Linked DNA regions of Astyanax mexicanus. The protein of the gene in region 1 interacts with the protein of each later gene in a biochemical or structural test. Links are inferred from orthologs where the notes say so. Each region holds a gene or a part of one and is shown on either strand. Other genes may lie near its edges.

What was found.
Region 2: the proteins of atp7b (region 1) and atox1 form a complex in vitro, tested with the Homo sapiens proteins (3 studies listed by BioGRID and IntAct). The link is inferred for Astyanax mexicanus from reciprocal best matches to the Homo sapiens genes ATP7B and ATOX1.

Annotation. Positions count from the first base shown.
Region 1 is NC_064412.1:38,317,008-38,330,441, forward strand, and holds the start of atp7b (copper-transporting ATPase 2), read left to right. Parts: upstream 1-7,271; 5' UTR 7,272-7,384; coding exon 7,385-7,549; intron 7,550-13,434. UniProt on the Homo sapiens protein: Copper ion transmembrane transporter involved in the export of copper out of the cells. It is involved in copper homeostasis in the liver, where it ensures the efflux of copper from hepatocytes into the bile in response to copper overload.
Region 2 is NC_064417.1:39,242,223-39,255,126, forward strand, and holds atox1 (copper transport protein ATOX1), read right to left. Parts: upstream 6,453-12,904; 5' UTR 6,311-6,452; coding exon 6,305-6,310; intron 6,105-6,304; coding exon 6,032-6,104; intron 4,015-6,031; coding exon 3,890-4,014; 3' UTR 3,855-3,889; intron 3,706-3,854; 3' UTR 3,388-3,705; downstream 1-3,387. Other genes in the region: slc36a1 (proton-coupled amino acid transporter 1), read left to right, coding at 10,291-10,318, 11,301-11,412, 11,502-11,592, 12,509-12,597. UniProt on the Homo sapiens protein: Binds and deliver cytosolic copper to the copper ATPase proteins. May be important in cellular antioxidant defense.

The DNA.
Region 1 (13,434 bases):
TGCTGTTTGTTCACAAGTGTTCTCTAACAAACCACCGAGGCCTTCACAGAACAGCTGTATTTATACTGAGACTAAATTAAACACAGCTGGACTCTCTTAACTAATTAAGTGACTTCTGAAGGCTGTTGACTGCACTGAATTTTATTTAAGGGGTTTTGGAGTAAAGAATACTGAATACTGAATACTTTTGCACGTCACCCTTTTCAGATTTTTAAACCATGTATCATTTTCGTACTACTTTACAATTTTGCAATATTTTGTGTTTGTCCATCACTTAAAATCTCAATATAATATATTTAAGTTTGTGGTTGTAAGGTGACAAAATGTGAAAAGGTTCAAGGGATATGAATACTTTTGCAAGCCACTGTACATAAATGTATAAAAAAGAATGTAAAGGTATTTTTAAATAATGATATATTAGCAAACATGGATATATATTACATTAATGAGATTAATTACTCTCTTCCAGAAATAATTAGTAATTAGTCATTTGTAATGCATTACTTTTTGAGTAATTACACCATTCATTGCTTGCTCCAGTCCCATATATGGTCTTATCAAGCAGGAAGAGCAACAATTGATAGTCTGTGACCGTCATGTGGTCATTAAACGAGACTGTTCTGCGAGGGCACTTCCTCCCAGAACTGCCTGATTCTCACAGTGTGCATCACTGCAGACCGAGTTCAGATATGTACTACGGCTCCATGGGGGTCACACACCGGGTGAGTGTTTCCTTTTCTTTTTTTTATTTAACCGGACTTTTATTCAGCAGATTTCCAGTTCTACAGACACATCACTACAAAACAATATTCAAAAATTACACAACAATAAAAGAATAAACACAACACAACACTACACAACACACTGCTTCATTATTATGTGTTTGTTAAGGGTTTAGTTTTTCTTTTTGTGCTTTATTACACGTTTTAACTGTAATAATGTGACTTTTAAAACAAAAAAAGTGTTGGTCACTATTCATATCATGCGCTGTTAGTGTCCTCGGCATAGTTGTTTAAATTTCATCCAAACACCATGAAACAATATATTTTCAATATATACTCTAAATAAACACAATATTACAAATATAGTGGCTTTCAAAAGTATGCATACACATTCCTTGAATTTGTTCACATTTTGTCATCTTACAACCACAAACTTAAATGTATTTTACTGAGATTTTAAGAGATAAACCAACACAACATAGCACATAATTGTGAAGTGGAATAGAAATGATACATGGTTTTAAAATATCAAATGAAATAAAAATCTGAAAAGTGTGACGTGCAAAATTATTCATCCCCCTGTGAAGGCATCAGTGGTTTGTTAGAGAACACTAGTGAACAAACAGCATCATGTAAACCAAGGAGCTCACCAGACAGGTCAGAGTTTAAGTTGTGGAGAAGTTTAAAGCAGGGTTAGACCCAAGCTTTACGAATCCCAAAGAGCAGTGTTTAATCGATCATCCAAAAATGGAAAAATAATTCTACAAGTGCAAACCTAACAAGACATGGCTGTCCACCCAAACTAACAGATTGAGCAAGGAGAGCACTGGTCAGAGAAACAGCAATGAAGCCCATGGTCACTCTGGAGGAGCTGCAGAAATCCACAGCTTGGGTGGGATAATCTACAGAAAACAGGGCAATTCTGGAAGAAAACCTGTTGGAGGCTGCAAAAGACTTGAGACTAGGATGGAGATTCACTTTCCAACAAGACAATAAACCTAAACATACAGCCAGAGCTACAGTGGAATGGTTTAGATCAAAGAATATTCATGTGTTAGAATGGCCCAATCAAAGTCCTGAGCTAAATCTCACTGAGCTTCTGTGGCAAGAAATAAAAAAAGTCTTTAACTGTTTCGCAAAAAAAGAATGGACAAAAATCTCAGTCTCTAGATGTGCAAAGCTGGTAGATACAAACCCCAAAATACTTTTTTTTTCAGCAAAAAGGTGGCTCTACCAAGTATTGATATAGGGAGCTGAATACTTTTGCATGCCACACTTTTTAGATTTATTTTTTTAATAATGACAACCTTGTATCGTTTTCATTCCACTTCACAATTATGTGCTACTTTATGTTGGTCTATCACTTAAAATCTCAATAAATACATACGTATAAAGTTGTGGTTGTGAGGTGACAAAATATGAAAAAGTTAAAGGGTTATGAGTACTTTTGCAAGCCACTGTATAGAGGTATGTTAACCCTCACTTTAAAGTACTTTTTTGTAAATTTTATACAGTTTTCTTTTTTGTAAATTTTATACAGTTTTCTTTCATGTGGGCTTTGAAGTTTTGAATGAATTTTTTTTTATATAATTAGACATTTCAATTTCTTTTTAACTCTTTTTATTTTTTTATAAAAATTATCGAACTATTTTAACCTGCCTTAATTCCTTTAAGAAATTAAACATCAACATCAGTGAAATCACAAATTTCACACGGTTTTTATTTTAAAGGACTGAAGACAATTGCTGCTGAATGGTCAGCAATTAATAATATTAATTTGACTTAAATGTATAATTTTGTCTCCATATTTAGCTTCAGTAAAGCTTAAGCTGTCCACCCTGTCATGGTGTATCAATATCAAGGTAATTAACATAATATTAGAAAATTTAAATGTATCTTTGAAACAAAACAAGATTACTAGGGATTACTAAAGTCACCCATGTTTTCATTAAATGCCAATTTTCACAAGATTTTCACTGTCCACCCTGCTGTACAGCTTGTCGCATGTGTTATATATGTATTGATGTATTTATATATATATATATTTATTCTGCAGGCATGTATGTATGTGTTTAGGGTCTGAATCTCCTTGTGTATCAGTTCTTTTCAGGATAATGCTGGGCATGGAGAATTCATTTCTTCATAGGTGTATTAGTGCGCCCCCTGCTGGAGAGTTATAATTGTCACGTGTAAAAATGTTTACGAAGAGCTATATTGTGTAATACTGTTTATATAATATATACTTTGTCCTTGATGACTCAATCAAAACTTAAAACACTTAATCAAACTGTCCAGCACTGACAGGAGATACATTTTAATATAGAAAGCATTTTTAGAATAAAATCACACCAGTGATCTCAGCACTAACTCAGTTTTTACTAAAACCTCAAATTGCTGATCTCTGTAATGCAGTTTTTACTAGTAGAAATTCTCAATTTTGACACCAGCTATGAAATAATTACTAGTAATAATATCAGAACAACAGATCTAAAGTCATTCTGACAAGACATAATACCATAGCACATATTTTTAATGTAATTCTGACTTAGGCCTGTCACAATAATTACAATATCGATTTATCGTACAATAAATGAACATGACCTGAATAATTTTTGATAATCGCAATATCATATTGTGTTTATTTGTATGTTTGTTCACATATATAACATGAACAGTATTTTAGCCAGTTATGCTTTGTCATGGTGAGCACAGAATGCAGACACGTGCAGATACTGATAAAAATGTGTTTATTATAAAATAAACAGATGTAAGACATAGTCGATACAGAAAAATGGGTAATCACCAATAACCAGAGCAATGAAGACAAAACCATACCATAAACGAGACAGTCCAGAGTTCATACACGAGATATCCAATATCAGAGGTAATCCAAGAGGCAGTAGTGAAAACACAGTCCAGGTAATACACAAGCAATCCAAAATCAGAGGCAAAGGCAATAATCGGCGTCGAGAAAACAAAGGCAAGGTCAATACACGAGATAAACAGAGACAAGAGATAAAGTAACGCTTTGTAATGAGGAGAACCTACAATACGCGGCGTGGGTGTTTGTGTGGAGTGCTCTTTTATAGTGCCAGTAATCAGTATTCAGGACTTCCTGGAGGAAGCCCGTGAGGTGTCACGTGATCAGGTGAGTGCGTGATGTCAGCGGGTGGTGCATTCTGGGTAATGTAGTTGTTGACCTGAGAACCTCCGTTAGAGCTGGGTGTGGAAGGGACAGAGGAGCTAACAGCACCAGACGTGACATGCTTCAATAACTGACTTGATACACATAGTGTGGACTAAAGTAGGTGAAGAAATAAGTATACAATTCCCAAACTAATAATAATATAATAATATATTAATATAACTATAACTAAATATATATTAATATAACTTATAATAAATGATTCATTCAAATTTTGTTGTCTTTAAAAAGTGTAAAATTGCTTTTTTATGCTATTCTGTTATCATTATGTCAGTGGCATTTAATACTCTAAATATTGTGTATCGCAAAAAATCCTGGGACGATATATATTGTCCACAAAAAAATCTTATCACGACAGGCCTATTCTGACTAGTCAAATGTTACCTTACAATTAATTTCACTGTCTCGTATCTCTTGTCATTTAATTTTAACTGCAAAAATTTTAATTACCAATATCTACAATTATTTTATTACTAGTAGAATTGTAATTACAGCTCTTTATAATGTGATTCTGATTTTAAAATAATATTTCAAGCAAAGACACAAACACACAGGAAACAACACAACATTATGCAAACCTCTAACACTAACTTGTTGTTGAAGATTGAGGGAAAAAAGCCAGTTCTTGTGCATGCACACAAACTTTTGAAAAAATCCTGCATCGGCAAATGTGTCGGTCTGCATTGTCTTCTTTGAAAAGCTTTTGGCTGGAACGCTGCTGTTTCTTGATTGGCTGTTAGGTAGCTACATTTCTCAATTTAATGACTGGTGTATGGCTTCTTCAGAACACTGTGGGAAACCACTTGATGTCTTCTTGCGAGTGTCTCAATGCATGCTTATTGCGTGAGATCTAAGAGCCTTTTTTCTGTCTGGACTGGCTGTAGAAACATTTAACTGGGATTCTCACCATCTTGTTTTCCCACCATCAATTGAGTGTAATGTTGTCATGTGACCACTAGTTGGTGCAGGCAGTATTTTCACAGGAGGCCCAAGAGTCAACAGTTTAAATATAAAGTATCATGGTGCAGAGAAGATCCCCACATAAGGACACAGGGTCTCAAGAGGTTAATTCTAAATTATCTTTAAATGTTTCATTGTAAATGAGCAACTGTGGTTAAAAACCAGGGATTGATTTCTGAACTCTTAAAACTTAATGAATATGAGCTTGTTTTCTTTGCATGATTTGAGGTTTGGAAGCTCTGCATTGTTTTAGTTTTTTCAGCCATTTCTCATTTTCTGCAAATAAATGTTCTAAATGATAATATTTTTATTTGGAATTTGGAAGAAATGTTGTCCGTACCTATGAATAGCAAAATCAGAGAAACTGATTCAGAAACTAAAGTGGTCTCTTCATGTTTTCCGGAGCTGTACAGCATGTTTTTATTTAGAGTGAATTTTGAAGCATGTATTGTTCAAGTGTTTGTATGAAATTTAAACAAATATTCTGCAGCACAAAAGGCACAGTATATAGATTTTGACTAATCTTTTGACCAAATATTTTTTTATGACACTGTATTTTCAATTTTCTTTTTAAATGTAATGTGTATATTTGTAAATGTGCAAATCGATAAACAGTGTACTTGAGAGCACACGGCACTTCAGTGATATATCTGTGTTGTCTCTGAGAGCATGTGACCGGGGTACAGTTCTGGGTAGAGTTGCACGGTGTACCGAAGGTTCGATTCTTTTTCGATACTACGTCATCACAAACGATTCGGTTCTTTAGCGTTCGATGCTTTCGATACTGTATATAGCCCAGTCACTAGCTTCAAATGAGTCAAATTAGTAGGCGCGATTTGATTCAGTTCATAAGAAAACTGATTCACACCGCAGCAGTCGGTGTGGCAGGATTCAGATAAACTTAGTGTTCTGAACAAATGAATCGATTCACGAGCAAGCCAGCAGAGCAGCAGCGAGTGTAGAATGGCGACGGCTAAAATAACAGATGTCTCTCGTCCGCGACTTGTGGACAAAACGGGCGCGAGGAGTGAAGTGTGGGAAAATAGTCTAAGATGTAGGCATCTGTTTTTTATTGATATTTTTATTTTTAAATAAAATAACGAAAACTGAAAGTGAAACTAAACTACTTTATTAGCGCTGTTTTCACTCCCGCAGTTGTACAGCGGGGGGGGGGGGGGGTTGTGCCGATTCTGTCCGCGAAGCGGGAGTCGGATTCAGTAGCGGATTCGGCACAAGGGCGGCGGCACCTCGCGCTCCGCGGTGTTAGTTGTAAGCGCTCGCGCTAGCCGCAAAATACGACAGAAAACACTGAGGGAGCTGCAGAATTATGTATGGGACTAGAATATGAGCACGAGGAGATCAAAGAGAACCTTTACCTGTGAGTAGCTCACATCAGAACACGCAAATCTCTCTCTCTCTCGCTCTCTCACTCTTTCTCTGTGTCTCTCTCTCGCACGTGAACGCCTCCGCGTTTGACCTGCAGCACTGTGTTTAGCTGTTCTTAAAAATCATTTTAATTAAATAATAGTTCTATGCTTCTATGTTACAGTGTTATTTAACATAATTCTGATCATATTTCGCTCATTTAGCAGACAAGCACCCTGATCTCTACAAAGAGCTGAGAAGTCGACAGGTTAGTGGAGTTAGTCAAGATACACTCTGTAGCTTTACTAAGATTTACTAGCGACTGCTAGTAAATCACATTAACATGGAGAGGAGTGTGCAGGAGTTTTGTTTTGGACCCGTGGTTTTCTCTATTTCTCCATTATCCCATTGGCTGTGAAACATGAACTCAAGATGTTCACGTTTTCGCGTTTCCATCGCAAATCTGTGGTCAGGCACGTAGCCTGCTTGCTCGTTACACTGAACATGGGCTTATTAAAAACGGTAAACGGTTGATTAATATAACGGAGCAGTGAGTGTTAAAATGAACATAACATTGTAATGTTCTTCTGTCTCTTTATTTTCCTTATTCAGAACTTAACTTCTGCCCGCCCGTCAGGTTCACATAGTCAGGCTACCATTACCTCTGGTTTTAGTTTTAGTTTTTAGGAAGTGTTTAGATAATTATGTTATAGTTAAGGTTATAATAACGAAACTTGTTTTTTGTACAAATGTTTCATTTTAGAATAAAAACGTTTGCACCGATTGTTCAGTGTTCAATCCAGTTCAGTCAAAAATAAACATTTTATGTTCAGATATTTTTATTGTTTTTTTTTCTTCCAAGTATCGTTTTGGTATCGAGAATCGTGATACTACAGTTGGTATCGGTATCGAAGTCAAAATTTTGGTATCGTGACAACCCTAGTTCTGGGTGTGATGCAGTGCCGGGCAGTGCACGCGGCCTGGCCGGGCAGGTGAGGGTGGGCAGTGTGCCAGCCGGGTGTCGTGTGCAGAGGCAGGGTAAAAAGCGCGCGGTTCGCCCTCAGCTCGCTCCGCACGGGACTGTCCGCGGCTCGGTCCGGTCCAATAAAGCCAGAAACTTCCAGAAAGTGAGATGAACAGGCTGGACTCGCTGGGCGGGTTCGGGAGGCGCAGGCGGCTCGGTTCGGGCGGGGAGCAGGTGTGTATGGTGGACTGCGGTCCTCCGTGCCGCTGCCCGGGGACGGAGCCGTGTGTCTGCCGCTTCTCGCAGCGCTCAGCCCGGCTGCAGGAGGGGAAGGTAAGCGCCTGGAGGAGCGGGGCTGAGACCTGAGGGCTGTTTTATTATTAGCGTCATTTTAAACGTTTTCTAAACGCTGTTTTTAGTCAGTTTCTTTTACTGTTAATAAAAGTTCTGTAATTTATTAATTTACTCGACTTTAGGAGCATTTTTAATTAACATGATAGAATTTTGGTACATTTCATTACATCTTCCACATGAAACGCAAAACAAACAAAATCTTTATTGAATCAGTTTTAAATATTATATACTAATTAAATTCATTTTCCACCATTAATAATGCTTAATAGAATAGTAACATATTTTGAGCATAATCACATAAAATATTAATTATATAAACTAACCCCCCCCCTTCACATTATTTACTTAACCTCAACCTCCATGTATACATTCAGTTTATATTTACATAAATTTATTCTGATAAGTCTTTTTTTTACTAGGTCTTTAACAGTTATAAAATCAATTGCATATAATATCTATTTTCTGTAGAATATGTAATTCCAGTTACAATTCTAAAATCCCAAAGTTCTGCTCAACTCTGTTTGGGCTAATTTAAAACTGAACAAAATCTCAAATAAAGAAGAATATATGCTCACTGTCCAGCGAAAAACAAGACAGCAACTTTACAGGAGAGAGAAAAAAATCTTCTAAACTTTCAATTAACAAGTCATTGTAAAAAAGAGTTTGTTTTGAGATTACTTGGAAGTATTTATATTGGTATGTTAATCAAGAAATTTCGGCACAGTGTAAGGAACAGTCTGTTCAATTTATGTAGTAAACTAAAAATCAACAAAAATGGAAATACTTGTTTTTTACTGGGCAGCAATGATATACATTTAATAGTATAGGGTGTTTTCTGTGTTAAAAAGGCTTTGCAAGGGTTTATGTCTAACACCTTTGAGCTTTATAATTTTTTAGACCAAAACCATCAAAAATAGAAAAATATACAGTACTAGTCTAAAGTTTCAATTGTTTAAAATGTTTAAAATGATAAATTAATAGTGAAGTCACCCAGATTATGAAGGAACAAATAAGGAATTTTGTAGTAAACTAAAAGTGTTAAACAAACCAAAATTATCTGGGAGACTGTTAACTTGAGGTTTCTGAGGCTGGTAACTCTGATTAATTTATCCTGTGCAACAGAGGCAACTCTTGCTCTTCCTTTCCTGGGGCAGTCCAGATGAAAGCCATTTTTTTCATAAGGTCTTTAATGGTTTTGTCTTTTGCAACTGCACTTGAGGATACTTTCAAAGTTCTTGAAATTCTTCAGATTGACAACCATTACTTAAAGCCTTTTTTTTTCACTTAGTCACGTAGTTTGTACATGTTTGTGACCAGTGGTGGCTGGTTAGAATGATCTGTACAAAAAATTACATCACATCTACATTTAATGCTGACCAGCGCAGCGTTCTTTAGCTTCAGTGGTACATGGCAAAAGTCATGGAATGCAGTACTAGTTCCTTCCAAAGTACATGTGGCATGTATATCACAGAGAAGTGTCAGGACTTTTGTCATATTGTCTACCTTTAGTTCCAGTGTTACTAGATGTTCTAATGAGCTTTACTGAAGTTCTATAGAGAATGTGGGAAACTTTAATTAAGGTTTAGTTGTGTGGCAAATAATCTTACCATTTTATTTGTACTTAAATTTAAATAACTTTAACAAATGTCCTGTTAAATTACTATTTGCTATAAATGGATGTTAAAAGGATTTGGTAGCTGATTGTACATGTCTTTGAACCATAGTTCCATTGATTTACCAGTAGCTTTACTTGAGCTCTTTGCTCTGCATAAAGGTCAGTGTCATAGGTTTTTAGATATGGCAGTGTACGTGTGTGTGTGTGTGTGTGTGTGTGTGTGTGTGTGCGCGCAAAACACTGATCATTGCTCTTTACTTCTTATCTCTGTCTAGTTCAACTTTTATAATGTTTCAGTTACCAGTCAATATCCCAGCTTTTTCTGAGCGAGACATGAGATTATAAATATTTGCATGCTTGTGATATTATATTACTTATTTCACTACTACTACTACTACTACTACTACTAATAATAATAATAATAATAATGATAATAATAATAATAATAATAATAATAATAATAATAATAATAATAATAATAAAATGCATACCAAGTTGGGTACTGTCTAGTTACATGTTTTCAGGATTGTGTAGTCAAGTAAAAGTAAGATTTGAATAAACTTCTATTATATTAGGTTCCAAGTATCTTCATCCCTCTACTTACCTTTAGCTTGCTCTACATCCCTCTACCTCACTCTACATTGCTGCATCTCCCTCTACTTACCTTTAGCTTGCTCTACATCCCTCTACCTCACTCTACATTGCTTTACCTCCCTCTACCTCTTTCTACCTGCCTATACCTACCTCTCTCTTGCTCTGCCTCACTCAACCTCTCTCTTCCTACCTCTACATCAATCCAGCTTGATCTACATCCCTCTGCCTCCCTCTACCTCACTCTGCCTCACTGTACCTCACTTTACCTCACTCTGCCTTACTCTTCCTCTAGCCTAGCTATGTCATGTGATCACAGTCTGCAGTGTGAAGAGATCCCGCTGTTACTGCATGAGGGTAATGCAGAATGAGTGTACTGTTATTCAGAAACTTATAGCAATTCTCATGCACATATCACGGTAATGATAGAAAATATGATTTATCGCACAGCTCTAGTAAAGAGTACAACTCTAGACACCAAAGAATACATATCAAGACACTTTGATATTACAGTATTTGTGTACACTTATATATATATATATATATATATATATATATATATATATAGATTTTATATATATATATATATATATATATATATATATAGATTTTGTTTAAGAGCCAAATATAGTAATTTAATAATACTTTGTTTGAGTATTTAATTACACATAAGTATAATTAAATAGCCACCACTCCACCTCTCCCTGCCTCATGCATGGCCCCCTAAAAGTCGGGCTCATGTGATAAGTCAGATTTGTTCAGTGTATAATCTGCTCTTTGATGTTGTGTGTGGTGTGAGACTTTAGCACTAATACGCTGGTGTGTGTGATTAGCTTGTGCTTACATAGTGGATCTGGATCAACTTGAGTTCATACAGTTCAGTTCATTACAGAATGGCTACCAAATGGATTTCAGTGTTTCCCACACTGTACTGTAGGTGGTACTGTAGACGGTGCCCCTTCCTTTCAACCGTCTCTGCATCTACAGTCGCGATTCAAAGTTTGTGACCCCTTTTTTACCTTTCTGCATAAATATAACCTAAAACATCATTAGTCCTAAAAGTTGATAGAAAGAAAGAAATTATACTTGGTCATTTATTGATCGATTTATTACATATTTGTAATAGGAAAAGTATATGAACCTTTGTGTATTGTATATTTGGGTCTCATCTGTCCACAAACATTTTTTCCAGTACATAGTCTTCTGGCTTGTCTATGTGATTTTTAGCAAACTCCAGACAAGCAGCAGTGTTCTTTTTGGAGAGCAGTTTTTTTTTTCAGCACAAACCACGTGATAAAGATTATCCACAGCATCTCAATCAGACTTTGACTAGGCCACTCCAAAACCTTCATTTTGTTTTTATAATTCAGAGGTGGACTTGTTTGTGTGGTTTGGATCATTGTCCTGCTGCAGAACCCAAGTACACCTGAGCTTGAGATCATGAACATAAACATGTTCTTTTTTTTAAATTATGTGTTAGTTTTACTCCAGACGTTACAGGACACACACCTTCCAAAAAGTACCACTGTTGTCACTCATTAGTCCAAAATATTTACCCCAAAGTCCTGGGGATCACCAAGATGTTTTTTTTGCCAAATGTAAGACAGGCCGTTGTGTTCTTTTTGGTCAGCAGTGCTTTTTTTTGCCTTGGAACTCTCCCATTAAAATAATTTTCCACAAGTCTATTTCTTATTATTGAATCTTTAACACTGACCCTAACTGAGGCAAGTGGGACCTGCAGTACTTTAAATGTTGTTCTGGGTTATTTTGTGACCTCCTGAATGAGTTGTCCATGCCCTTTTGGAATAATTTCGATTAACTGGTTCACCAGTGTTCCGTGTTTTATCCATTTGTAAATAATAGCTTTCACTGTGGTCTGCTAAAGCCTTGGAAATGACTGTGTAACCTTTTCCAGATTGATGGATGATCAATGACTTTTTTATTCTCATCTGTATTAAAATTTCTTTAGATCGGGCATAATGTGTTGCTTTTTGAGATCACATGTAATTTATGGGATGGCAAACACTTTTTTACAAAGGGCTAGATTGGTTTGGGTAGTTTTTTCTCGTAATAAATGAAATCATCATTCATAAAGGGCTTTATATATTTGCTTAGGTTATATTTTTTTATATTTATGTTTGTTTGATAATATGAAAAAGTAAGTATGAAAAAAATTTGTCTGGTCTTGTGCTTTTTACATGTATGTTGATGGTTGCTCCCAGTTTCCTCTGTTTTTTGCTTGTCAGTTAGCTTTATTACAGTTGGTTTGTTTTTTCTTGTAGTTTTCTTTTACTTTGTCTTGTTTTTTATTAGAATTACTTGCATTTATGTCCACCCATTTTCATCCCTTGCTGCAACCGTGACACTCTAGGGCAGGGGTGTCAAACTCATTTTGGCCGAGGGCCACATTGGCATATTGGCTGTCCTCCGAGGGCCAGATGTAACTTATAAATGTAATAAAATGTAACCAAATGTAATATATGTAAATGAATGTAATTACTCCTTAATGTTAAATAACTCTCAATATATTATTTATTCAATCAAATATTACAGTTGCATGGAAAAAATGTTTGCTTGTTGCTCTATTAACATAAATCCTTTTAATTTGTCATGTCATGAAATCCAAAAACTCCATCAATCAAGAACCAAACTATTCAAGTGAATAGAAATGACATCAAGTTATATTAACTTTGAAATTATTAACTGAAATAAGGCTTAATAAATATAAAATCAAAAATTGTGAGCTGTTAAGAACATAGCATTTCCTCAGATTTAGCAGTTCCTCATCCAACCACTAGTGGGAGCTGCAGCAGCAGCACCACAAGTCCGCAGTCTTTACTGAGTCAGAGCTACAGCCCAGCCACGGGCTACAGGGCTCAGCTCAGCCAGTCTGGAGCGTTTTTACAATTTTTAAGTTCTTCTGTGTATGAAATAAAGATTTTTGTAACCGAATAATACAGCTCTCTACAGTTCATCTTTCAGCCCAATCAGCTAACAGCAGCCGTTTAGAGCATGAGTCACTGCTGGGATTACATTATAAACAGGTCAGTTATCGCGCTGCTAACCTCAGGATGTTTATAACTACGGAGTTTAGTGGACACACCACGGCTGCAAGGTTAGACTGTTGAAGGCTACTGAAGACTATTAAAGGCTATTGGAGGTTATTGAAAGGGTTATTGAGGGCAGAAATCAGTAAAGGCTGGTTAGATAAGTGATTCACGTCCTCGTACTTTGCTGCGGTGAAACTGCGACTAGCGCTGTCACAGTGATGTTTATTAACGTCATTAAAACAGATTTTGTCAGCTATTGTCTTATAAATGTTTACACAGAACTTATATCTCTCCTAAAAAGCGTTTATTTTGGTCAGTAACACTCTTCGTAACACAAAAGGCATACCGGTCTTTCGCCTTGAAGCACAGCCGTCCGTCTGCATCAACTTCTCTTTTTCTGGACATTATGGGATAAACATTTATATGTCTCAATTCCACCCGCGAAGTTACACCTTCCCTCCGGCAGGGTTTCCACATCAATGACTACACTGCCGTGTAGTGGCAGTAAGCCGTAACTTTGCGGGTAATACAATCGACAAGCATTGTGGGAAATGTATTTTTTGGTCAAAGAACGCTTCTGACTTATTTATTATAGACACTAAGATCTT
Region 2 (12,904 bases), on another chromosome or scaffold:
AATTTTTTTTCTTTATATTGTTTAAAAAAATGTATGATGGATGTACCAAAAGAATGTACCAAAAGATGCTCCTAAATTCTTGAAATAAAATCTTTTTACATAATCTTCTATTGGAAGTAAACATGGTATATGTGCAACATATATACACAGAAATACATATATATGTATATGTATATATATACACTACCGTTCAAAAGTTTGGGGTCACTCAAACAATTTTGTGTTTTCCATGAAAAGTCACACTTATTCACCACCATACGTTGTGAAATGAATAGAAAATAGAGTCAAGACATTGACAAGGTTAGAAATAATGATTTGTATTTGAAATAACATTGTTTTTACATCAAACTTTGCTTTCATCAAAGAATCCTCCATTTGCAGCAATTACAGCATTGCACACCTTTGGCATTCTAGCTGTTAATTTGTTGAGGTAAGCTGGAGAAATTGCTCCCCACGCTTCTAGAACAGCTCCCACAAGTTGGATTGATTGGATGGGCACTTCTGGCGTACCATACGGTCAAGCTGCTCCCACAACAGCTCAATGGGGTTCAGATCTGGTGACTGCGCTGGCCACTCCATTACCAATAGAAAAGCAGCTGCCTGCTTCGGCTGTAAATAGTTCTTACACAATTTGGAGGTGTGTTTAGGGTCATTGTCCTGTTGTAGGACGGAATTGGCTCCGATCAGGCGCTGTCCACTGGGTATGGCATGGCGTTGCAAAATGGAGTGATAGCCTTCCTTATTCAGAATCCCTTTTACCCTGTACAAATCTCCCACCTTACCAGCACCAAAGCAACCCCAGACCATCACATTACCTCCACCATGCTTAACAGATGGCGTCAGGCATTCTTCCAGCATCTTTTCATTTGTTCTGCGTCTCACAAACGTTCTTCTTTGTGATCCAAACACCTCAAACTTGGATTCATCCGTCCACAACACTTTTTTCCAGTCTTCCTCTGTCCAATGTCTGTGTTCTTTTGCCCATCTTAATCTTTTTCTTTTATTAGCCAGTCTCAGATATGGCTTTTTCTTTGCCACTCTGCCCTGAAGCCCAAAATCCCACAGCCGCCTCTTTACTGTAGATGTTGACACTGGTGTTTTGCGGGTACTATTTAATGAAGATGCCAGTTGGGGGCCTGCGAGGCGTCTGTTTCTCAAACTAGAGACTCTAATGTACTTATCTTCTTGCTTAGTTGTGCAACGCGGCCTCCCACTTCTTTTTCTACTCTGGTTAGAGCCTGTTTGTGCTGTCCTCTGAAGGGAGTAGTACACACCGTTGTAGGAAATCTTCAATTTCTTAGCAGTTTCTCGCATGGAATAGCCTTCATTTCTAAGAACAAGAATAGACTGTCAAGTTTCAGATGAAAGTTCTCTTTTTCTGGCCATTTTGAGCGTTTAATTGACCCCACAAATGTGATGCTCCAGAAACTCAATCTGCTCAAAGGAAGGTCAGTTTTGTAGCTTCTGTAATGAGCTAGACTGTTTTCAGGTGTGTGAACATGATTGCACAAGGGTTTTCTAATCATCAATTAGCCTTCTGAGCCAATGAGCAAACACATTGTACCATTAGAACACTGGAGTGATAGTTGCTGGAAATGGGCCTCTATACACCTATGTAGATATTGCACCAAAACCAGACATTTGCAGCTAGAATAGTCATTTACCACATTAGCAATGTACAGAGTGTATTTGTTTAGGAGTGTATTTGTTAGGACTAGTTTAAAGTTATCTTCATTGAAAAGTACAGTGCTTTTCCTTCAAAAATAAGGACGTTTCAATGTGACCCCAAACTTTTGAACGGTAGTGTTTCCATGATTTTACCAAATTGAAAACCTCTGGAATATAATCAAGAGGAAAATAGATGATTGCAAGCCATCAAACCAAGCTGAACCGCTTGAAATTTTGTACCAGCAGTGGCATATATTTATTCAAAAGCAGTGTGTTAGATTGGTTGAGGAGAACATACCAAGATGCATGAAACTGTGATTAACCAGGGTTATTTCACCAAATATTGATTTCTGAACTTTTAAAACTTTGAATATAAACTTGTTTTCTGTGTATTATTTGAGGTCTGAAAGCTCTGCAGCTTTTTGTTATTTCTCATTTTCTGCAAATAAATGCTCTAACTGACAATGTTTTTATTTGGAATTTGGGAGAAATGTTTTTCGTACTTTATAAAATTCAACAGCAGTTTATTTCACTCAAACATATACCTATAAAAAGCAAAATCAGAGAAACTGATTCAGAAACTGAAGAAACAGAAACTGAAGTGTGTTTATATATATATATATATGCAACCCCATATGTAAAGATATTAAAGATTATTTGTTAATATTGCATTCCTGCATTTTTACCTGAGACTTTGGAACATGGGCCATTTAGGGTTAATAATGGGGTAAAAAAAAATAAATCAATAAAAAATTATTTAATTTCAAATAGATGTATCCCCTTAAGTCTGAAGAGCAAAAGTTGGAAGAGGATCTCCTGGTCATAACAAATTGAAACAAAACAGTCAAAAACAAATGGAAGGAATTTGCATATTTTGTACTATTATTAAACCATTTAAGGAACTGGTAATTAGCAGTGGATATATGCCAAAGGCTCTTATGATCTCCAATCTCTCAGGCGGCACTATATCAAGAACTGTCATTCAGCAATAGCTAATAGACCCACATGTTTAATTGATTACTTTTGTAGACATTTGTCAAACATTACAATATAAAGTTTCATTCACAAATACAACCATAAACATTGTCTAGAAGTGTTGAATTCTCTGGGCTTGGGGGCATGTGGAATGGACCATCACCCAGGGGAAATGTGAATTGTGGTCAGACTAATCAATATATAAGGTATAACAGGATGCCCTTTGCTCCACAGCAGAGATATAAAAGACCATCCAGACTGTTATCAGCAACAAGTCCAAAATCCAGGGTCATAGTATGGGGATTTTTCAACAAGACAATGCAAACACACATGCTGGCGTGGTGACAACAAATGACAACACTAGTGGTAAATGCTTGACTCTTCAAATTTGTTTCTACCTTTGTTGCAGGGCCGCAATGCAGGAATAGTTGTACATTAAAAAAAAAAAAAAAGTGAAATAATTACTAAATTAGTTACATTAAATGTATGCCATAATGCATTTTTACTTGCATTTTCTATTCTGTCTCTACTTTTTTGATTTAAGGTTGTAAATGAAATTCTATATGGTTTTATATCTATTTTGTATCAAATGCACTATTTGTTGTGTTTCAGGTTAAAAATAACCAAATGTCTATTTAAAAAAAAAGTAAAAAAATTTAGCCGGTTTGCTGTGATCCTGAAGCTTATATGCTAATCACAAAACATGTTACATAAACTTTAATTTAATTTTCCATTAAAACAGTGTTTAATACTTAAATGTATTCATTTTATTAATTTCAAATTCCAAACAGGCAAGAAAACAGGCTTTTTTTCATGATCAGACAATACAGTAGCAGACTATGTCTATACTTAGTTGTTATATTGCAGCCACAAAAGGAGCCATTGTACTAAAACTATGTTGCATTAGATACTAATATTTCATTAATTAGCATTTGAATTGATTATCATGGTGCACATCAGGACAGGTTTTAGAAGCTTGTTCCACTGGTCCCCACAGTCACACACCTCATTCTTGAAGAGCGTGATCACACAGCCATCCATAATCTTGTCAGGAATTACAACCTGTCACATGGAGAATCACAAATGAAGGAGACTGAAACCCAAACCCAAAATGCATATAAATATAAACTAATACAATTTAATAATACTCATAATGTCAGTAAATAAACAACCAGTGGTTATTAATTAGGAAAGAGAAGCAGCAGGCTTACATGGTGTAGAAAAGCTGTTAAATGCTGAGCATCCTCTATTTTGTGCCGATGTAAGTGACAGTTTTTCCAGTCTTCTTCAGCGTCTCTAGAAGAACATCACTGTCTTTGTCTGACTCGATGAAGACCTTCTTGTTAGGAAGGTCAATGTCAAACTTGACATCTGTTGAATTAAGAATAGGCTGTAAACATTTTAAACATTCAAAATTGTGTAAACTGTAAGCTTTCAGCTGTCACCCTACCATGGCACTTCATTATATGTCAAAATGTCTCATAAAAACCTTGTATATCCAGTTTCTTATTCTTTAATTTTCCTTACACAATTGAAATGTGCATTTTATTATTCACATTTAGGGTAAATAAATCAGTAAAATAAATGAAATAAATTATTTACATTGACTTCTCCTGAAAATTAGGAAGATTTTTGCTTTTCCTGTAAATTTGTTTATTTGGCAATCAGAAAAAGAGTTCAGACAGCAGTGATGCACACTGTGCACACTCATTTGACCTAAAACAGTCCGTTACGAAACTGACTACGCAGTACAATATGAAACCAAAGAAGTGTGTACACATGATAAAAAAGCAATGGAAAAAAAAACAAAAAAAAACAAAAGCAAAAACAAAACAATAAACAGGTCAACTATATCACTGCTCTGAAATATCATTACATGCTTTTAAAGAGTTTACAAGAGTTTTAATTTGGGTCTTTGCTTCAAAAGAGCCTGTGGTAATATATGTCACAGACCCTTAATGATATGTAAAAAAGTTCCTTGATTTAGGGTGTAGTAAAACATAATATCGAGTACAAACTTTTGTCGACTAACCCACCTCTATTTACCCCCAGCATTACCAAATACAGTGTTTTTTAGCTGATGCTTCCAACAGGCCTCCAATGCTAGTGATAGGGGCATTGCATTTCCCCTGGCCAGAAATCTTTTTTTTTTTTCACCATTACCAAGCTCAAAGAAGCTCCACACTGCATTCGTAAGATTCTAAAGGCCCTGACATTAAAAACAAGGCACTGAAAACTTTGATAGTGCACCTTCAGGTAATTTTTCAGGCTTAAAATTAAGTCACGCTAAGTCAACTGACGAGTGACTGAGTAGTTCAAAAGATTAGTAGTTCTGAGTAGTTCAGTAAAGATTATGCCCTTTGTTTTATGGTGCTCTTCAGTCTGATGTAGACAATCACCAGATACTTTCAGCAACAACTTGAAGTTATGCATTTCCACTAATACATTTTGCCTAACCTGTTCCCCTATCCTACCTATTCGTTCATGCACGTCAGTCGACTTATTGATTCTCAGCGCCTCATTTTATATGTCAGGGCCCTTGGAATTCTGTCAATAATAAGTTTCTCAGTTGGTCATGGGGTGATTTTCTCTTTTATGGGGGGTCCTCTGTGATTTTATTTACGTCCGGAATGACCATGTACGTGTTTTTCTCAGATGTCCTATGAGAAAATTGCAGCCTGAATAACCTATTGTTTTTCACTGAACTCGTCCGGTAATTTAAGTCTCATCCATAATGCACATCTCTGCATTTTGTCACCTTGCATTTAAAAAAAATATATAAAATAGCTATTTGTCCACTGCCATGCACCGTAATTACACTTTGGGGACGCACTTATCCAAGGAAATACACATGAACACAACAGCAAGGGGAAATGGAGGAGTTACTGAATGCAATGTCATGTGACCGAGAAAGCCTAAAAAATCACTGGTCCTCCTGTTTTTTCAATTGCAGTCCCCCTAAGAAATTATTCCCGCCCGGATAGGGCTAAAGGTTCATCCTCATGATCATGTTTTATTACATTTTATGTCCATTTTACATCATTTCACACACTTTAAAATACAGGTTATTAAAATGTTGTGGTGTCATTTGGGTTGCATCAGGATTTTAGCCATAATATTTATATTTCATATAATATGTGCCCACAATACAAAAAAAACCCAAATGAGCTGCCCACTGAATTTATCAGATTTGATTTAGAAATTAGAATCAATATTCAAAAGTGGGTTTAGGCTCTTAGGGTAACTTGCCAGCTAACCCAGATAGCTAGTTAGCTAATAGTTAGATTACTCTAGGTTAGTTCAGCTAGCTGAGAAAAGTTGAATTAACTCCTAAACTACACACAAACATCAGCACATACAAACATCAACATACACACTGTAGACCTACCTATTTTTTTAAGAACCCGGGTGACTGCTCCAGAACATCCCTCACAGGTCATATCAACAAAGAATTCGTGGGTCTGTGGACAAAAACAGCGTTATCTCAGACTGTTTAAATTCCGAGTCCCTGCACCAGCCAAGCTATCCCTAACTTACTAAATCCAACAGGCTAAATTAGCAACTTAGCTAAACACGACCAGAAAATGAGCCCTTGGCCTTTAGACAGCAAAAGCCCTGAACTATCGGCTAAAGTCGGGAATCAAAGATAAAAGACACTTACTGCCATGATCCGATAAGATCTTGAGAGCGTCAAAAGAATTAAGTAAACGAAACCTCCTGTTAAATGAACACCAAGAGCTATCTGAACTCTGCTACTCTGCTGCTCGGTGCTGAGCGAAGACGTGTGACTTAGGGATGATCACTAAATTACCGCCCACTTTCTGAAGCGTGTATTACCATATTACAACACTGCGGAATCGGAGCATAATGGGAAAAGTTCTGAGGTTTTCTTTAAATAAATTTTCTCTATATCTTTATAGGTCTCTCTTAAAATTAGTTTTGTATTTGTCTATTATTAAGTACTAAAAGCAATTTAAAAATACTATCAAACAACGAGGATAACTAAACTAATGTTTATATGTCTTTATTTTTTTTAACTGAATTGAATCGTTAAATCGTTTTCTTATTTAATCTTACATGTGATTTGTTTATCAGTTAGGGCTGGTTCACGGCATGCTCTATATATATACATACACACAGGCCAATAGAGCTTTAGTGTAGTGTAAATAGTGTATGTACATATGGAACAAAAATATATGTAAAATATAAATTTGTAAACTTGCAAGTGACATTAAAATAAATAAATGAACAACAACAACAAAATACATTTAAAATGCAATTAAAAAGGAAATATATTCACACATTTCTTCTTTTCTGTGTGTGGTGTCTTTTCTGTGTTTTATGGTGAGGACTAAAACGTTCTTTTACTACATGTAAGAATTGAATTGCAATCTAATTTAAATGCATTTTTCATTTGCAACAAACCAAATCAAATCTTAATAATTCGATTTTTTACATATACAATACGAATTGTACGAATTAAAACTGAATCAGAAAATTTCATTGTATTACAAATAAGCTTCAAACTTTAGTTTGTACATGCTGGAATTTTCTGTTGTATTGCATTTTTCATTTTTACTAATGATGTATTAATTTCCTGAACTACTGTTATATCAAAATCCTATTAGATTAAAGTCTAAACGTGCCAGTTTGGTCAGGCTTTTCACAGAAGCTCCCTCAAGCTGCGTCAGCTGATCAGAGGATCATGTGACCGGCGCGCTCTGAACACCAGAAGAAACAACAAGCCTCGCAGCAGCAGTGAGACAGCGGGTCAGCGGCGGGGTTCACACCGCGCTGGAGATTTAAAACCGGACCGTGCTTTAAATACTGTTATCTGTTTAAGTTGTTAAAGGAAAATGTGGCTGTTCATTCGTCTTTGCTAGTGAAATAAGGCTTCTGCGCGGCCGCAGCGGCTCTCTGGAGCTCCCGGTGAGTAGCTAACCAGCCTAACTGTCAGTTCACTGAGTAATAAGCCCTTTTACTACAGGAGCCACGACTCAGCTGCAGCGGCAGGGAGTGAATGAGTGACAGACAGCTGGGCTGCTTTATAACATTAAATACACTGAAATATTAGATATATATATGGGAAATTTAACGACTTACGGTTACATGCAGCTACTTAAGTGACCAGCTATAAGATTATTAGCCAATTACAGGCTAGTAAACATGTCCTTGTACATTGTGCTTGTGTTTTTGTGCTTGTGTTTTAAGTGAATAGTTTAGTAAATAAACTTAAATTAGTTTAGAACAGTTTAACTCATTCCCAGATGGTCAAGATATGATTGTTGTCTGAGGTAAGTTTTCCATTGGACAAAGCAATATTAGAGCCAATAAATTAGGTCCAGTGTAACCCAAATAAATGCTAGTTAAAGAACTACACTTTATATTCAGCTCTGGGAAAAAATAAGACATGCGTTTAGATGATGAGTTTCTTTGATTTTACCAAATTGAAAACCTCTGGAATATAATCAGTAGGATCACAAGCTATCAAACCAAGCTGAACTGCTTGGAAAGCTCTGCATCTTTTTTTTTGTTATTTCAGCCATTTCTCATTTTCTGCAAATAAATGCTTTAAATGACAATATTTTTATTTGGAGTTTGGGAGAAATGTTGTCCGGTGTTTATAGAATAAAACAACAATGTTAATTTTACATATACCTATAAATAGCTAAATAAGAAAAACAGATTCAGAAACTGAAGTGGTCTCTTAATTTTTTCCAGAGCTGTAACTAGTTGTAGTAGTTGTTGATCAGCACTATTCAAGGAGACTTTGTTTAAATATGCTTTTCAATAAAACCAGCCCTTTAAGGCTATGAGGGAATACTGTTAATAGTTTACTTTTTGTAGTTAATACTCATTTCAGTGAATACTGCAGTTCAGACAGTCTTGTTCATATGCTAAACTGAAACTATGAAAATAGTTGTTATTACACAATGTCACATGCCTTTCAACCTCAATGCATAAAATCTATAGCAATGCACGTCACGACAACAATGTTTTGCGAATGATATGATGTCGCAGAAATGATTGCGATGAACAATATTATTGTCATTTTAAAGGAGAAATTTGGTGTAAAATGGACTTGAGGTGTAGTGAAACATGATTCATTGTAAGTGTATTGGGAGCATTGGCTATAAGCGCTGTATTTTGGAATGCTGGGGTTGGACGGAGGTGCAATATTAAGAAAATGTTTGTATTTATTATCATGTTTTACCACACCCCAAGTCTGTTTCATACAGAATTTATCATTTAAGCCCAGTAAATGCCACTAAAATAATGACAACATGATATCATATCAAACAAATTATTTAATTTTAAAGACAATAAACATTTACTTAATAGTAGTTTGGAAGACTGTACTTTTTTTGTCTGCAGCAGTACACTCTTATACCGCTTCCACCAATGTGGATTGAGCTTGAACTGTTCGCAGCATTTCCACCAACAAAAATAGGTTTGCTCATAAACACAATGAATGATATCACAATTATTACAATTATTAAGGTTATATCCATTTATTGTTTGATAAGTCGATAATGTAATTATCGTGACAGGCTGTATTTTAAAAGGACAACAGAACTTTTTGATATTTTATACTCTATATACTAAACAACACCAGCTGACTGAATTAATCAGTGGCTGTAATCATTGCAATGAATGTAGATACTGAGCGCCTATTCTAGCTTTTCATGCTATGTCCTTATCAACAAAACAGAAGATTTATAAAAAGAAAGATTGCTCATTTTAGTTTAAACTCCTTTACAACAAAGTAAAAACAGTGAAATCACATGTTTGGCATTTGCAGTGGTCAGCAGTTAATAGCTTCTCCGTGTGCAGAGTGCTGATGTAGAGGATTTGACTTCAGAGAAGTGTGAAAGAAATTACTCAGCTAAATTTAACCTTACATAACTAACAGAGTCATTTGGAATTTGTAGCATAATGTGACCTACTAGCACTGTGATTCATATACTAGCACTCTGTTTCATATATACAAGCACTGTGTTTTATGGACTAGTACTAGGAGTGGGCGATATGGCACAACCAAACAAAACAAATGTAACAGTTTAATACATTCACTTGAAACAAAATAATTTATAAACATTTGTCTATTTTGTAAACAGTAACTTTCCAAGACCCAGATTTTGAATATTAAATGAAAAATGTAACAAAAATAATGCAATTGAACAACAAATAATCTAAAAACGAAACATAAAATGCAGCATGTTTAGTACATGTATATAAACTGCAATAAAACATAGTTAAAAGTAAATACAGTAAATAGCAAAACAAATAATATTGCTTTTGTATAATAATATGTACTGCTTTCAAGAATATTGCTATTATCACAATATAGTGTCAGACATTTTTGTGATATTCTTGTGTACAAATGTGTATAATATGGCACACTACTACACAACTAATACTGTTTCATATATACTAGTACACACAGGAACTATTGTTTTTGTGATAATTTGAGCAAATATTGAAACTCAATAAATATAGGTCAATAAAATGAGTTTGCTTTGAACCAGCAGCGTAATAATGATGATAATAATGTTTTGCTTGCCTTTGATGGTTTACAGTGGCTGGATGAATTGTCTCCACAATAAAAGCAGGGACCAGTGAAACTTCCAGCTGAGCGGAACAGCCATGAATTCAGACATCAACTATCAGGATGGTAACCAAATTTAATATGCATTAGAAGAACATTTGTGGTGCAGCCTGTTTTGCTTTATTAAGTTAGACTCTGTATCAGTGCTTCTTTTTAGTACTGCAGTGAGGAAGATTTTTATTCCATATGTTTGTAGTTATACCTTGTAAGTATCAGTAGACTATATTCTTAGGGTACTTTTTTGCCAAGCAATAAAAATATGGTCATGTAGAAAAGGAACACCCCATGCAAATGTTTGTCTTTATGAAGAGATGTAATAAAAAGACACGTAGGCTGCATTTGAACAGTATTCTAAGATGAAGCTTATACAGCAAATCAAAGAAAACTTTTAAACGTAAGAAAACCTTTAATGTTGGAAAAAGCTGACAATTACCTCAATACCTCAGTTTTTTCGTAAATCTGTCCACCAGTCTCAGACATGGACTGGGAAAATGTCTTAGCTGTGTATGTATGGAATATTTCAAAATGTCCTTGAGTACTCTCTGAGACAATGGATAATTCATAGTGGATATTTAATGGAGCTTTGAGAGCATTGTTTTTTTTTTTTAATTATGCTTAAAACTAAAAAAACTAATACTCAATACTGTTTTAATAAAGCTCAAATATTCATGTGAATAAATATGCTTAAAAATCTAAGGTTTTTATGATGGTCCTATATTTTCAGCTGACTGTATTTCTATTGTATGCTTTGTTTTGAACCCTTTCAAAACACTAACGTCCCTTTCCGTTCTATGCACATTTTACTACGTACGGTCCAATAAAATCGCTTACATAAATACATTAAATCCACTTACTAAGAATGATTTTTCCTTCTCCCATATTGGTTTCATTATAAAGAGCATTGGGGATTTCTTTTTCTTTTTTCTTTATTTTACATTTGCACCAATATAAATATTAATACTAATTAAGAGTTTGTCAATTATTAAAGTTATTAAAGTTAATACATAGAAAAATGATGAATAAAAATGTCTTTTAAACTTTTTTTCAGGGCCTGCATTCTCCTGTACAGAGGAGAGTCCAACAGAGGACGAAGAGCCCGTCCATTCCCCGTCCCGCATGCAGAGACAGTACGAGCGAATTGGAGGCAGAACCGGATCCTCGTAAGACCAGTCACAGTAACTTAGTGTGAATGGACTGAAGTTGTTCTGATTAGACTGCTGGTCTCAGGCTCTGCTTCTTGTGTTTACAGGTTTTTTCAGACCTTAATTCATTTACTGAAAGGAAACATCGGCACTGGTCTGCTAGGCTTGCCTCTTGCTGTGAAGAATGCAGGGCTTGTGGTAGGTCTCTATTATCAGTTTAAAGTTATTACATTAAAAAATACATTATACACATTTTGTGTGCTTGGCTTTAATGGCCTGTATCATATAAAACTCACTTAAAAAAAAGACTGATACTATGGAAACAATAAAGGGCAGGCAGTCAGAACAAAAGTCAATAATGTGCAACCAAAAGGTATGCTAAATTACGCTGGCATGCCACATATCATGAGACAGAAACTAGTCTCATGTCCTACGACTTTTGGAATGGAATCTAGAAAATGAATTGAGACCTGCATTGAATGTGGATGTGATTTCTGCCAGTCGTTTGTTTTTCATCTGATGCACTTTCCATTTTGGGTGGTTATGCCCTTTATAAAGTATTCCCAATCCATCTCCCCTCACCCACTATCAGACCTCGCTCAAACTATGCCACCTATCACCTGCCAAACTATCACCTTGCCATGAGCACACTGACCAGTATTTAACCCCACTAACAATTAATACCATCTCCTGTGGTAACACTTAATGATCAAGTTACATACTGGTATCACATGAATTATGGCATGTCAGTATATAAAGGATTAAGAAAGGCTTTTTATATATAGGATATGAGTTTTCTTTTTAATCTAGAGAAAAACAGATTTTCTTTTTGATCCAGCTCTAATGATGCTGTTTTATTACATTACTTTAGTGTTTTAAAACTCTGTCGTCACAAAAAATAACATTATTGTTGTTGCCAGATCCAAATAATCTAAAAAAAAATTTAAAAACAGCAAAAATGAAAAAAAAAAAAAAAAAAAAACTATGAACGCTCTTGCAGGACAGTAACCATATATATACTGATTGTTGAATTCACTTCATTGAAACTTGTATATTAGGTATATTATAAATATGTTCAGTTCATTAACAACTGACTTTGTGAAACTGTCTGCAGGTGGGTCCTCTGAGTCTCTTCGTGATGGGCATTGTGGCTGTGCATTGCATGCAGATTCTGGTGAAATGTTCCCACCATCTAAGTGCTAAGTAAGTGTCTTGGTTAAACAGCTGTTAAACCTCATTTGTTTGTCCAGAGCTTGCTTACTCAGTTCAGTCATTTGAGGAAGTAAGTCACGCCTGTATCCGTGTACATCACGTTATTACTCTAGGACATCACTGTTTACTTTTTCTTAGATACTACTCTCAGACATTCAGGGATTTTAACTTTATAAAATCTACTCCTACATGTAGCACATAATACACAACATCGCTTTGTTACAAAGTTAAAACCTTTATAGGATATATGAGAGGGCTGTGTATCAGCGCAACCAAAACCACTGTAGACAAGCCACAT